Linked DNA regions of Anolis sagrei. The protein of the gene in region 1 interacts with the protein of each later gene in a pairwise test. Links are inferred from orthologs where the notes say so. Each region holds a gene or a part of one and is shown on either strand. Other genes may lie near its edges.

Region 1 (6,830 bases):
ACGTAGACGTTGCGGACGCTGACCAGCGGGAAGGGCAGCCTCTGGCCGGTGGCCTTGTCCACGCCGTAGTGGAGGAGGGCGGAGGGGGGCAGGCGGGCCAGCTTGGCAGCCCCGGAGCCGGCGGCCTCCGACCGGCCAAAGAAGCGCTCCACCAGCGCCTCCATCTCCGGGTGCGGGGTGGTCCGCTCCCCAAAGGCCTGGGCCACCGCCTCGAAGGTGACGTCATCATGTGTTGGGCCAACACCCCCCGAGGTCAGGACGAAAGAAAACCGGGTGGAGAAGGAGGAGACCTCTCCTGCGATGGCCGCCACGTCGTCCGGCACCACCGAGATCCTGGCCACGCGGACACCCAGCGAGCGCAGCACCTTGCACATGAAGAAGGAGTTCGTGTCCTGAGTGTAGCCCTAAGGAGAGCGAGGGGGGGGGGGGGGGGATAAGGGCCCAGAAGGACAAGTCGGAGGAGACTTGTCCTTCCAACACTAAGGGAATAATAACAATAACGAGGAAAATGTTTCCCCTTGACCTTAAGTCTAGTTGTGACTCTGGGGGTCATCTCCATTTCTAAGCTGAAGAGTGGGCATTGTCCGTGGACACCTCCAAGGTCATGTGGCCAGCATGACTCCATGGAGTGCCCATTCTCTTCCCGCAGAAGCGGTACCTCTTGATGGTCTAGTACAATATAGTAATATGTAATACTGATTTTGTGCTATGCTAATAATATAATATAATGTATGTATATATATCTTGTATCTTTGAAGTGAGAAGGGCAGCATATAAATGTTGCAAATAAAAAAATAAATACTTCAACTCCCACAATTCCTATCAGCCTATCCCAAACACCTGGAGGGCCGAAGTTAGCCCACCCACTCCGTTTGTAATCTTCCATCATTTTAGTTGTGGAGCCCCCGATGGGTGGCGCAGTGGGTTAAATCCTTGTGCCGGCAGGACTGAAGACCGACAGGTCGTAGATTCGAGTCTGGGGAGAGGCAGATGAGCTCCCTCTATCAGCTCCAGCTCCTCGTGCAAAGGGGACATGAGAGAAGCCTCCCACAAGGGTGATAAAACATCAAATCATCCAGGTGTTCCCTGGGCAACGTCCTTGCAGACAGCCAAATCTCTCACACCAGAAGCGACTTGCAGTTTCTCAGGTCGCTTCTGACACGACCAATTTTTTTCAGTTGTGCTTGCTTATTGTATACCTGTTGTTGTTTGCATTTTATTTGGTGTTATTACCTGTTTGTTGCATGTTACTTTGCGGCATTGTAACTCTTTGGCTTGGCCTCACGTTTGCCGCCCCGAGTCCCCTTTGGGGAGATGGTGGCGGGGTATATATAAAGTTTATTATTATTATTATACGCACAACTCTACGTGGGGTTGCCCTTGAAGACTGTTCGGAAACTTCAATTGGTCCAGCGAGCAGCAGCCAGACTGCTCACTGGAGCGTCATACAGGGAGCACACCACCCCCCTGCTGTGTCAGGTCCACTGGCTGCCGGTTCAGTTCTGAGCACAATTCAAGGTGCTGGTTTTGACCTACAAAAGCCTGTACGGTTCAGGTCCAGTGTATCTGTCCAAACGCATCTCCCTGTACGTCCCACCCCAGAGTTTGAGATCATCTGGGGAGGCCCTGCTCTCGACCCCACCACTATCACAAGTGAGGTTGGTGGGGACGAGGAGCAGGGCCTTCTCAGTGGTGGCCCCTTGCCTGTGGAACTCTCTCCCGGGGGAAATTAGGTCGTCAACATCTCTCCTCTCCTTCAGGAGGAAAGTAAAGACGTGGTTGTGGGACCAGGCCTTTGGGCAATCTGACAACTAGATAAGGACAATCAGACGATTAGGACTGATAATGTGGAAATGGAATTTCGACTATGAGATAGTTAATGCTGACCGTCAATGAGGAGTAATTGGGTTTGTATTGTTTTATTGGTTTTATCAGTTTTAGGGTTGTAATGCAGGAATTGTTGTTTAACTGTTTCAACTGTTTAATTGATGTTATTTTGTCTTATTGTTGTTATGTGATGTTGGCGTTGAATTGTGGCTTTGTAAGCCGCCCTGAGTCCCCTTCGGGGTCAGAAGGGCCGGGTAGAAGAAACCGAAATAAAATAAATAATAAAAATAAAATATTATTATTTGCTCATGACTGGGCTAGATGGTCTTGGGAAGAGCCGCCTTCTACAAGCCTCCGAGACTAGTTATTTGTCATGTGTATTATTGTTGTTGTTTATATGCGATTTATATTCATTGTATTGTTTTATTTGCTTATTGCTTTTTGTTATTGATGTGTTGTTGGGCTCGGCCTCATGTAAGCCGCTCCGAGTCCCTTGGGGAGAGAGATGGTGGCAGCGGGGTATTAATAAAGTTTTATTTATTATTATTATTATTCAGATTGTTTACTGTATTGTATATGTGTATCTTGTCTTTTCCTTATAATATTACGATATAGTGGTATGCTGCAATGTTTAATGCTGATATTGTACTATGCTAATATCTAATATACTATGCTAATAATATAATATATTGTATGTAATATATACCTTTCGGGGTGAGAAGGGCGGCATACAAACGTCGTAAATAAATAAATAGTTATTTATCACGTGTATGATTCAGATTGTTTACTGTATCGTGTGTGTGTGTCTTGTCTTTTCCTGAACTCTGTGTGGTGGGCGGGGCTGCAGGCCACGTGACCAGCTCTGGGCCTGTTCAGGACTCAGACTCGGGCCAGAGAGATGCGAGTCTCCGCCCAGAGAGGCCACTTCCGGCTCACCTTCAGGATCTCGTCGCCAATGATGATGATCCCGGCAGTGACGTCGCCGCCCTCGCCCTCCCCCTCTGTCCCGGTAGTGACGCCATCTCTCCGCGCGGCCATGGCTCGCCCCCTCCCGCAGAGCCCCCTCACGAGGGCCAGGCTCCTGCGCAGGCGCATCCGCAGCAACGCGGCCCTCAGCCTGCGGAGAGAAAAAGGGAGGAAGGAAGGAACGCGGCCGGGTCGCTCATAGGGCACTCTGCACACGCTCAGGGGCCAAGCCACCCTACCATCAATAATACCGGCGGCGTCCCCTTTAAGAGCCGCCCGCTCTCCCCGCTCACCTGCCGCTCCCTCCGCCCGTTAGTTCCGCTTCCCCGACCTCCCTTCCCTCCCATTGGCCAAGCCGGGAGAGGGGCGGGAATAACGGGGGCAAAGTCTGAACCCGATTGGCCGTAGTCCCCGCCCCCTAGCGGGCCTGTACGTCAGACGAGGTGGAGTGACGCTCTGGGACTACAACTCCCGGCGGCCTTTGCGCATGGAAATAAGGTGAAATTGTTGTTCATTCGTTCAGTCGTCTCCGACTCTTCGTGACCTCATGGACCAGCCCACGCCAGAGCTCCCTGTCGGCCGTCACCACCCCCGGCTCCTTCAAGGTCAAATGTGAAATAGGTTGAATGAATTCAAACTGCAGGAAAAGGGGCACTTTGTATCCCACTTTTTCTGCGCATGCGTCAGCTAAGGAGGGAACGGTGAACTAAAGTTGCACTGCGCAGGCGTAGAACTGACTTCGCGCCGGAAGTGACGCCACTGCGCTTTCTCCACTTCCTCTCCCACCCAAGATGGCGCCGCCCGAGAAGCCGCTCCGCCTGTGAGTGAGGGAAGGGAAGCGCCCAGGGAAGGTGGGCGGGCGGGCGAGCGGGCCTTCCTGACGGTTCTCCTCTTTCCGTCTCTGTCTCCCGGCAGGCTGGTGTGCGGCGACGTGGAGGGCCGCCTGGGGGCGCTCTTCGCCCGCGTCCGCGCCGTACAGAAGAAGAGCGGGCCCTTCGAGGTAGGCGCGCGCGACGTCACTTCCGCCCTTTGCCTGCCCGCGCATGCGCCCTCTCACGCCTCTCCTCCGCCTTTCCCCGCAGCTCCTGCTCTGCGCCGGAAGCTTCTTCGGCTCCGCGCGCGACCCCGAGTGGGAGGACTTCCGGGGCGGGGCCAAGAAGGGTGAGTTTGTCGCCATGGCAACGAAGTCTAGCAAGTATATAATAAAGCAGCATACAATAATAATAATAATAATATGAAATAAGCAATATTGTATAATAATACAGTAATAATAATATATAAATATGTAACTAGAAAAACTAATAGATATAAACATTATAATATCATATAATATGATAATACTAGAATAATAATAGGTAATATTCAGTAATATAATGATACAATAATGATAATACTAATGCTGCAATACTATACAATCGTATATAAAACAATAATATATATTACCATTATAATAGCATATAATATGATAATAGTACTACAACAGTAATAAGTGATATATAATAATATAATGATACAATTATAATATGTAATATTAATGCTAAATATATATAATCCTAATATATATATATATATATATATATATATATTATAATACTATAACATATAATATTTGTGCAATAATAAAAATAATATAATTATAATAATATGGGGCAAAACATAAAATACTACCACAATGATATAATTTATTATTTATTTATTTACTTTGCTTGTATACCGCAGTTTCTCAGCCCGTAGGCGACTCAACGCGGTTCACAACAAGAGCAAAAGTCAATCATATAATCATCATAATATATAATAATACAATAATCTATAATGTTACAGTAAAATAATATTGCAATATTATATAATAAGGTATAAAATACAATAATAATAATAATAATAATAATAATAATAATAATATAAAATTGCAATAGCACTATGTAGCCCAATTTTTGTTCTTGGGTAATCAGTGTCATCCTTTCCTAATTGGTTCTACCATCAAAACAGAATGTATCTTTAGATAGATATGGAATATAGAATATGTCTGTAGATGAGCCTCCTCCCCGCAAGCTCTCCTTGCTCCCTCCCTCAGCTCCCATCCCGACGTTCATCCTGGGCGCCAACAACGAGGAAACGGCTGGACACTTCCCGGATCCCGGTGGAGGCGAACTGGCCGAGAACATCACTTACCTGGGTGAGTGCAGAGCAAAAGCAGTGGGAACTTTCTAGGTGCTTTGTTTTGGTACCAAAAGCAATTGGTAACTTTATTGATACTTTGTTTTGGTAGCAAAAGGGGTTCGGAACTTTCTTGGTACTTTGTTTTGGTAACAAACCAATTGGTAACTTTATTGATATTTTATTTTGGTAGCAAAAGCAATTGGTAACGTTATTGATACTTTGTTTTGGTAACAAAAGCAAGTGGGAACTTTATTGATATTTTATATTGGTAGCAAAAGCAGTGGGAACTTTCTTGGTACTTTGTTTTGATAGCAAACCAATTGGCACTTTGTTTTTGTAGCAAAATAGTTGAGAACTTGTATTGCTGAAGGCTTTCATGGCCGGAATCACTGGGTTGTTGTAGGTTTTTTCGGGCTATATGGCCATGTTCTAGAGGCATTCTCTCCTGACGTTTCACCTGCATCTATGGCAAGCATCCTCAGAGTTGAGAACTTTATTGCTGCTCAGTTTTGGTAGCAAAAAGCAACCTTGCCTAGGCCGTAATTGTCAGGACTGTGGGTCTGGTCCCAGTTGCAAGATTTTTAAGGGTCTTGCGTCTGAAATTTGGTGCAGTGCTTTTTGCGGGCCAGCGTGTGGTTGCCGTTCCCTGCCTGAGTGCCCATTTGTGTCCTAACATTGCATTCTTCTCATGCCTTTACTTCCATCCTTTGTGCCCCACGCTCCCAGGCCGCAAGGGCGTCTTCAGTGGGGCCTCTGGGCTGCAGATCGCCTACCTGAGTGGCACCGAGTCCACGCAAGAGCCGGCCCCGGCCCACAGCTTCAGCGCCCACGATGTGGCTGAGCTCCGGGCCTCCTTGCTCTCTGCTCCGGGCTTCAAAGGCGTGGACATCCTGCTGACCTCTCCCTGGCCCAGGGGTGTCCAGGCCTTTGCAAACAACGCCCCGGTGAGTCTTACAAACAATGCCCTAGAGCAATATGCTGGCACCATAAAGGTTGCCCAAATCTCTCGGGGGGGGGGGGAGCAGGCCAATTGGGCTTTTTCAGCCCAAAGGTCAGCAGGAAGCTCCCTTGCTTGGATGCTTTTCCCAAGACAAGGCATCTCTACGTCCCAGAATTCCAGACATCTGGCTTCTTTCCTTCCTTCCTTTGTTCATCCATCTTCCTTCTTGTCTTCCTTCCTTCCTTTGTCCATCATCCATCCATCTTCTTTCCTTCCTTCCTCCTTCTTTCTTTCAATCCTTCCTTCCTCCAAAATAATATAATCATAATAAACTTTATTTATACCCCGCCACCATCTCCCCAACGGGGCCTCGGAGCGGCTTACGTGGGGCCAAGCCCGAACAACAAACCACAATATGAAAATACAAATTGCAGTAAAATAATCAACATAACATTGAGGTATAAAACATCAAGACATATAAAACAATATACGCAGAACATAGAAGCCAAACATAATGGCAGAGAGCGGGCCGCATCTACATAAAAGCATCCTGCTTTCTTCTTTCCTTCTTCCTTCCTTCCCTCCCTCCTTCCTTCCTCCCTCCCTCCATCTTCTTTCTTCTTCTAATGAGCTTTGTGTCTGAAGGGGCAGACCTTCCTCTCACCCAGAGTTTTGGGGGACCTGTTGGGTGAACCTTCTGAAACCTTCTCAAAGGGAAGCCTGTGATTGAGGCGCGTGCGCTTCCCCTCGCAGGGCCCCGTCCAGAGCCAGGCGCCCGGCAGCTCAGAGCTGGTCTCCCTCTTGGCCGCCAGCCTCAAGCCCCGCTACCACTTTGCCGCCCTGCAGAAGCTGCATTACGAGAGGCTGCCTTACAGGTGCGTTGCCGGTCTATCGGAGCACGGGGGGGTTGTAGCGCTGCAGTCGGGGGCTTCCCTTTGAC
Region 2 (7,701 bases), on another chromosome or scaffold:
TTAGAAAAGACAGAACAGATACATTTAGGGCTCTAAATTCTGATTCCAGGTCTACTCATTTTACTGAACTGAGTAATTCTGTACATGATCAAAGTGTAATACTGTAGTTCTGTGCAACTCTACTTGAATCCAGTAAGGCTGACTTTTCTGTTAAATATGCATAAACTTGTGCTATATGTTGTATACCCAGGGCCAGCCCAAGATATTTCACCATCTAGACAGTTTCTCAAGTTGCTCCTGACAAGAAAATAAAATAAAATCTCAGCACATAACAAATGACATCCTCCACCCACTGAGATAGTCAATAGAACTCAGTGCCAACAGAATGATTTGGGTTCAAAAGTCAAAACAATTCATAAAGATCCTTCCTCATTCTTGGCAATAAAAATCTAATCATGATAACGTTCCTGTTATGATGCTGAAATCTGCACATGGCATAGCAACACTGGCCCCTTCTACAGAGCTTTATAAAATGCAGATTATCTGCTTTGATTATATGGCAGTTTACTCAGATAATCCCATTCAAAGCAGATAGTGTGGATTATTTGCCTTGATATTCTGGATTATATTACAGTGTGAAATGACCTCTGCATACCACTTTCGTAGACCTCCTGGATAACACAAGCTAATAGATCAGAAAGAAAAGGATTTGAGTTCTTATAATGGCAGTGACTTGAAACAGCAGTGTGTGGCTAAAGGCCCTTCTACACAGCCCTATATCCTAGAATATCAGGGCAGGAAATCCCACATTTTCTGAGTGTTGACTCAGATAACCCAGTTGAAAGCAGATGATATGGGATTTTCTGCCCTAAGATTCCTTCTTTTCATTATTGTTTAGTGACATTTAAAGTGATGGTGGACAAGTGCAACTCATTGGGTCTTTGGGTCCTTCCACACAGCCCTATATCCCAGAATATCAAGGCAGAAAATCCCACATTATCTGAGTGGACTCAGGGTCCTTCCACACAGCCCTGTATCCCAAAATATTAAGGCAGGAAATCCCAGAATATCTGCTTTGAATTGGGTTATCTGAGTCCACACTCAGATAGGATTTTCTGCCTTGATATTCTGGGATATAGGGCTGTGTGGAAGGGCCCTCAGATGACCCAGTTCAAAGCAGATATTGTGGGATTTTCTGCCTTGATGTTCTGGGATATTGGTCTGTGTGGAAGGGTCCACAGACACTACTAGGACTCTTTGTGACCATCAGGGGTCAAAATACTCTAAATTGTACCAAAATGACCTCTGGAGGACATTTCTCTTGTGTGTTCAGAGGACATCATTGAATGGTTTCATCCAACCAGGCTCTTCAATCAATTTGAACATTATGAAGGGAAGATGAAATCCCCTTGTGTACCTAGTCAAATGCCTGCCTCCCCCTCTGTTGGGATATTGGTAAGGCATATATATACTTTCCCCAGTTTTTTCTTCAGGGAAAGAAAAGCTGGATGCATGTGTCAAAAATGCCTCTAAAGGTGTAGAATTAATGCAGACTGGCACCACTTTTATTGGCAATTCAGTTTCATGATCTATGGGAATTACAGTCCAATAAATCTAGAGTGTATCATGTGAGACCAGGCTGTTGTATGCACTCATTGCTGAAAGGTATGGGAGTGTTTTTCAGGAAGCTGATTCTGTTCCAGGTACATTTGGCATTTTGATTGTATGTACTGTTCACCTAGACTTTCCAGGGCCCTTCCACACAATCCTATATCCCGGAATATCAAGGCAGGAAATCACACAATATCTGCTTTGAACTGGGTTATCTGAGTCCACACTCGGAATTTCTGCCTTGATATTCTGGGATATAGGGCTGTGTGGAAGAGCCCCCAGTCTTCTTGAACACCGAAAGAGAACAAGGCACTTCTTCCTGTTTGATGTTCATGGAAGTGTCTCTCAAATCAAACATAAAGCAGTCCTATCTCTTTCCACTTAAAACAGAAGTGTACTTTTTCATGAAGGTCATCACCAGGCTTGCCAGGCTTACTAGATCTTAAAGGGCAGTCCCTTATTGCGGGAAAATATCCCACATTCCAGGGGATGATTGCCTGGGATGTTCTGGGACCTCGGCCTCCTCCTTGGTATTTGACCTGAAGGCAAGGAGGGGACAGAGATGTCAATTGCTAAGGAGGAGTTGGGGGGGGGAGGGGCAGAAGTCCTGTCCATTGAAGTCCCTGGCCCACAAGCCCCCCCTCCCCCATGTCCCTTATTTTTCAGGAAGACACCTGACAACCCTGGTCATCGGTACTGCTGATTATATAGGAGGGGGGAAATGGTATAATGAAAACCATTTGAGCTACAGACACAAGGAAAACATTCCGTGCTTTCACTCTCCAGGAAGTTTGACAAAATACATTTTAGGGAATCTTAAGAATGTCGCTCCATCTATATTTGTATGTAAAAGAACAGCCAGCGATCAGAATTGCCAACTCATACACCCTTTTGGTATAGCAAAGGGAACAAAGGTGAATAAACACAACTGATTTTCATTAGAATTCTTCCTTTTATTAGAACCAAGGGACTACCAAGAACAAATGCCAAGTTAATTTTATGGGGCGATATGACTCTTGTTGCTGCTTGGCATATATTGACTCGCATAATAACCACATAAAACCACCTGAGATTCTTAGCCTACCTTATTATCAGTTCACCTAGAACTCATTAAAGGTACATATGGTATCTATTGCGGAGTGCAGCTTAACCAGTGTTATATTCGAGCTTGTAGTAGGAAACAGGAAATAAAATATGCTGGATGTTCTGGTATGGTTCAAAAAGGTAACAAACCCACTTTTATTGTTGCGGGTATACACCTCATATAAAGGGATGGATAGACAAAAGAAAGTTACCCAACTTTGTTACAGGACTCCCTAATGCTTTCTTGCCTTGTTTTCAAACTGTTTCCTAGATCTATGTAACTCAAGGTGTTTTTCTACCTGCCTTCTTTCTAGAAGTCATTGTTGTTGTTCATTTGTTCAGTCGCTTCTGACTCTTCGTGACCTCATGAAACAGCCCACGCCAGAGCTCCCTGTCGGCCGTCACCATCCTCAGCTCCTTCAAGGTCAAGCCAGTCACTTCAAGGACTGCGCTCTGACACCTTGAGATGCAGAACCAACCTTAAGAAATGGGGCCACCAAGTGGAGTCCACAACATGCGAGTGTGGACAAGAGCAAACCACAGACCACCTATTACAATGCAGCCTGAGTCCTGCCACATACACAATGGAGGACCTTCTTGCAGAAACACCAGAGGCACTCCCAAGTGCCAAGCTTTTTACTTTGTTTGCACTTTTAAATACATTACAACTGTATCCTCAATTTGCTTCTGACACGATGGCAAATCAGTGTTCAGAACAGCCTTTACTGAGCTGTTATTCTCGGTTCTTGAAGTTCTGCACCAGACTTCTCTGTATTTCTGCCTGTAACAAGACAGATATATAAACCCCACTTGTCCAAGTTTCCAACAGACCTTTCAACCTCTGAGGATGGCTGCGATAGATGTGGGCGAAACGTCAGGAGAAAGTACATCTGGAACATGGCCATACTGCCTGGAAAACTTACAGTAATCCACTACACACTTTGCTAACAGGTCCAAAGAGGGAGTCTCCTAAGCCAAGAAAGTGATATGGCTCCATATAACCAGGCTGCCTGTGTCTCTCTCAACAGAGGAAGTAGCTGTGGTTAAAAGACCCCTTTCTGAGTTGAGAAAGAGGTGCAGGATCTAAATCTAAATGGGATGCAACTAAGACATCTCTCAACTAAGGAAGGAGCAGATGCCAAAATGAACAAATTGGAGTCCAAAACACCTAGAGGGAAAGCTGAAGTTGGTCCATGTCTGGCATGGAGGCACCTTTCCTTGCCTTCCTTTTCTTTCCTTCCTTCCTCTTCTTTCTTCCCATGTGCCCCCCTTCCCTCCTTCCCCTTCCTTCCCTCACCTCCTTCCTTAACTTCCTACCCACCTTCCTTCCTTTCCCTTCCTTCCCCTCCTTGCTTCCCCCTCTCCGCTTCCTTCCTTTCCCTTCCCTTCCCTCCCTCCTTCCTCTTCCCTTCCCTCCTTCATTCCTTCCTTCCCTTCTCATCCTTCCTTCCTTCCCCTTCTCATACTTTCCCTTCCCTCCCTCCCTTCACTCATCTCCTTCTTTCCCATCTCCCTTTCTCTTCTCCCTTCCTTCCTTCCTCTTCCCCTTCCTTCCTTTCCCTTCCCTCCCTTCTTCCTTTTCCCTTCTTCATTCCTTCCTTCCCTTCTCATCCTTCCTTCCCTTCTCATCCTTCCTTCCTTCCCCTCCTCATCCTTTCCCTTCCCTCATCTCCTTCCTTCCCATCTTCCTTTCTTTTCTCCCTTCCTTCCTTCCGCTCCCTTTCCTTCCTCTTCCCCTTCCTTCCTTAACACTTTCCATCCAACTCTCCCCTTCTTTCCTTTCCCATCCTTCCCCTTCCCACCTTCCTTCCTTCCCCTCCCTTTGTCCTCCCCTTCCTTCCTTTCTTCCTACCTACTTTCCACCCCCCTCTCCCCTTCCTTCCTTTCCCTTCTTCTTCCTTCCTTTCCTTCCTTCTCTCACCTCTTTCCTTCCCTTTCCCTTCCATCCCCCTCTCCCCTTCCTTCCTTTCCCATCCTTCCCCTTCCCACCTTCCTTCCTTCCCTTCCCCTTCCCCTGCCTCCCTCCCTTCCCTCCTTCTCCTTCCCTCCAACTCGAGGCAGGCGCCGCCTCCTTTGCTTCTCCTTCGCTTTCTCCTTCCTTCCTTCCTTCCTTCCTCCTCCTCCTTTTCCACTCTGGGTCTGGAGGCTGGCGCCTAAGCCCGCCTCCTCGCAGCAAAGAGGCGCAGAAGGCCAGGCTGAGCGCTTTCCCTCGCTTTCCCTCCTAATCTTTTCACTTCTCCCTCTTCTTTCTTTCCTTCCTTTCTCCCCTTCTTCCTTTCTCCTCGAGGCTCCCTTCGCCGAAGATGGCCGGGCAAAGCATCGGCGAGGCCCCCAACCCAGCAGAGGCGCCGCGACGCAGCCGTGGCCGAGGGGTCGTGGTAAATTCAAAACCTCCTCCCTCCCTTTGCTTCCAAACACACAGTCAGTGAGTGCTGCCCTTGGGCCAGGCAGAACTCTCTCTCTCTTTCCTGCTGGTGCAGCCGAGGCATCCTCTGCCCGCCACGTTGTGTGTCTTCAGAGCTCACCCAAAGCTTCAGAAAGTAACTTGCAACGTGGGTTATATAATCCTCGTCCACACTAGCGAGGGAGAGATTCTGGAAGTTGCTGCTCCCAGGATTCCATAGCATTGAGCCATGGCAGCTAAAGTGGTGTCAAACTGCATTAATTCAACAGTGTAGATGCACCCATAGGAGGCTATTGTTATTTCCCTTTTACTCCTCACCCCACTCCCACTCTGTGCGTCATGCTGCTAAATGAATGCAGTTCAACAACACTTTAGCTCAGTGGTTCTCAACCTGTGGGTCTCCAGATGTTTGGGCCTTCAACTCCCAGAAATCCTAACAGCTGGGATTTCTGGGAGTTGTAAGCCAAAACACCTGGGGACCACAGATTGAGAACCACTGCTTTAGCTGTTACAAAACTATGAGTTGTTGGGTTGCTGTGAGCTTTCCAGGCTGTATGTCCATGTTCCAGAAGCATTCTCTCCTGACGTTTCTCCCACATCTATGGCAGGCATCCCCAGAGGTTGTGAGGCCATTTCTACAACAGTGGTTCCCAACCTTTGGGCCTACATGTGTTTTGGACTTCAGCTCCCACAGTTCCTAACAGTTGGCTACAGTATAGATGCACCCACATGAGGCTGTTATTTTGTCATTGTCCTCCCCCCCCCCCCAACTCACACTGTTGACTAAACAATATAAATACTTTGATTACATCTATACAGTCTGTCCCCCAAAATACATGTGCCCTTTAACACAGGCATGGTCAAACTTGGGCCCTCCATGTGTTTTGGACTTCAACTCCCACAATTCCTAATAGCTGGCACCAAGCACGTAGCCGGGGGAGGGGGGGGCTTGAGGGGCTTCAGCCCCCCCCCCCCCCAAATTCTCATGTTGGTCCACGAGGAGGCCTTACTGGTACATTATTTAAACTGTTATGTTTATTCATATCATGATCTGATCACCATGCTCAATATATCCCATATGCATGGGGGTATTGGGGTAACGATACAAAAGGTTTGCTAGGGTAGACCCTCTTTCACTCAGCCCCCCCCCCCCCCAATCAAACTCAGCTCCCCCCAAAACAAAATCCTGGCTACAGGCCTGGCCGGCACAGAAGCATTGTGCAAACTCTCTGCAAGAGAACAGAGAAGGGTGTACTGTGTAGGTCAGGCCTGGGCAAACAAGCCCTCCAATGTTTTGGACTTCAGCTCCCACCATTCCTAACAGCTGGCACAGATGCATTGGAAGCTTGTGCAAAATATCTGCAAGGGAAGAGAGAAGGGTGTTCTGTGTAGGTTAGACATGGGCAAACTTGGGCCCTCCAAGTGTTTTGGACTCCTACAATTCCTAACATCCTCAGGCCCCATACGTTTCCCACTCAGCCTCTTAAAGGGCCCAAGGCTCTTAGGAATGGTGGGAGATGAGATCCAAAACACCTGGAGGGACCAAGTTACCCCCTGCCTGCTTTAACAGCTAATGGTAGCTATGGTGACTATTTGAAATTGTTGTTGTTGTTGTTGTTGTTATTTGAAACACAACAAGACAAGTCAATGGCAGACAAGATCACTCTGCTGGCTGTTGCATTGGATCACACGTCGGACACTTCCCAAGTGTCTAGGACTGTGTGATGTATCGGCTAATAATGTGTGCAGATCCCAGTAAGGTGGCCTTCTGCAGCTGGCAGATGGTAATTGTGTCAGTGCTGATTGTGTTTAAGTGCAGGCCAAGGTGATTAGGCACTGCACCCAGTGTGCTGATCACCACTGGGACCACCTTGACTGGCTTGTGCCAGAGTCTTTGCAGTTCTAACTTTAAATCCTCATACTGTGCCAGCTTTTCCAGTTGTTTCTCTTCAATCCTGCTGTCACTGGGATTGCAACATCGACAATCCATACTTTGTTTTTTAACACGATTGTGAGGTCAGGAGTATTGTGCTCCAAAACTCTGTCTGAATTCGGAAGTCCCAGAGGAGTTTGACGTGTTCATTTTCTGTAACTTTTTCTGGCTTGTGATCCCACCAGTTCTTTGTGGCCGGCAGATGGTATTTGTGGCACAAGTTCCAATGAATAATCTGAGCAACAGTGTTATGCCTCTGCTTGTAGTCTGTCTGCGCGATCTTCTTGCAGCAGCTGATGATGTGATCTATTGTTTCACCTGCTTCCTTGCAGAGTCTACATTTGGGATCTGTTGTCGACTTTTCAATTCTGGCTTTGATGGCATTTGTTCTAATGGCATGTTCTTGGACTGCCAGAATCAGTTGTTGTTGTTGTTGTTGTTGTTGTTGTTGTTATCATCTTTATTTATATCCCACATTTCTCTCCATGGGGATTCAAGGCGGCTAACACATATACATTCATATTAAAGAATAAATGTTATAATAATTCCATCAGTTATGGGTTTCACCTTAAATTACAGTTTCATGTAAGGCAGAGGTTCTCAACCTGTGGGCCCCCAGGTGTTTTGGCCTAAAACTCCCAGGACTCTTCCACACAGCCCTTTATCCAGAATATCAAGGCAGGAAATCCCAAATTATCTGAGTGTGGACTCAGATAACCCAGTTCAAAGC

What was found. The genes of interacting proteins can lie anywhere in the genome.
Region 2: the proteins of FLAD1 (region 1) and PRTFDC1 interact in binary tests that used the Homo sapiens proteins (3 or more experiments, as listed by UniProt). The two-hybrid records come from large-scale screens. The link is inferred for Anolis sagrei from reciprocal best matches to the Homo sapiens genes FLAD1 and PRTFDC1.

What each region holds. Positions count from the first base shown.
Region 1 is NC_090032.1:162,720-169,549, reverse strand, and holds the start of FLAD1 (FAD synthase), read right to left. Parts: upstream 3,005-6,830; 5' UTR 2,923-3,004; coding exon 2,764-2,922; intron 405-2,763; coding exon 1-404. Other genes in the region: CWF19L1 (CWF19-like protein 1), read left to right, coding at 3,585-3,613, 3,709-3,793, 3,876-3,954, 4,865-4,966, 5,677-5,894, 6,644-6,765. UniProt on the Homo sapiens protein: Catalyzes the adenylation of flavin mononucleotide (FMN) to form flavin adenine dinucleotide (FAD) coenzyme.
Region 2 is NC_090026.1:109,359,339-109,367,039, reverse strand, and holds the start of PRTFDC1 (phosphoribosyltransferase domain-containing protein 1), read left to right. Parts: upstream 1-4,685; 5' UTR 4,686-4,937; coding exon 4,938-5,012; intron 5,013-7,701. UniProt on the Homo sapiens protein: Has low, barely detectable phosphoribosyltransferase activity (in vitro). Binds GMP, IMP and alpha-D-5-phosphoribosyl 1-pyrophosphate (PRPP). Is not expected to contribute to purine metabolism or GMP salvage.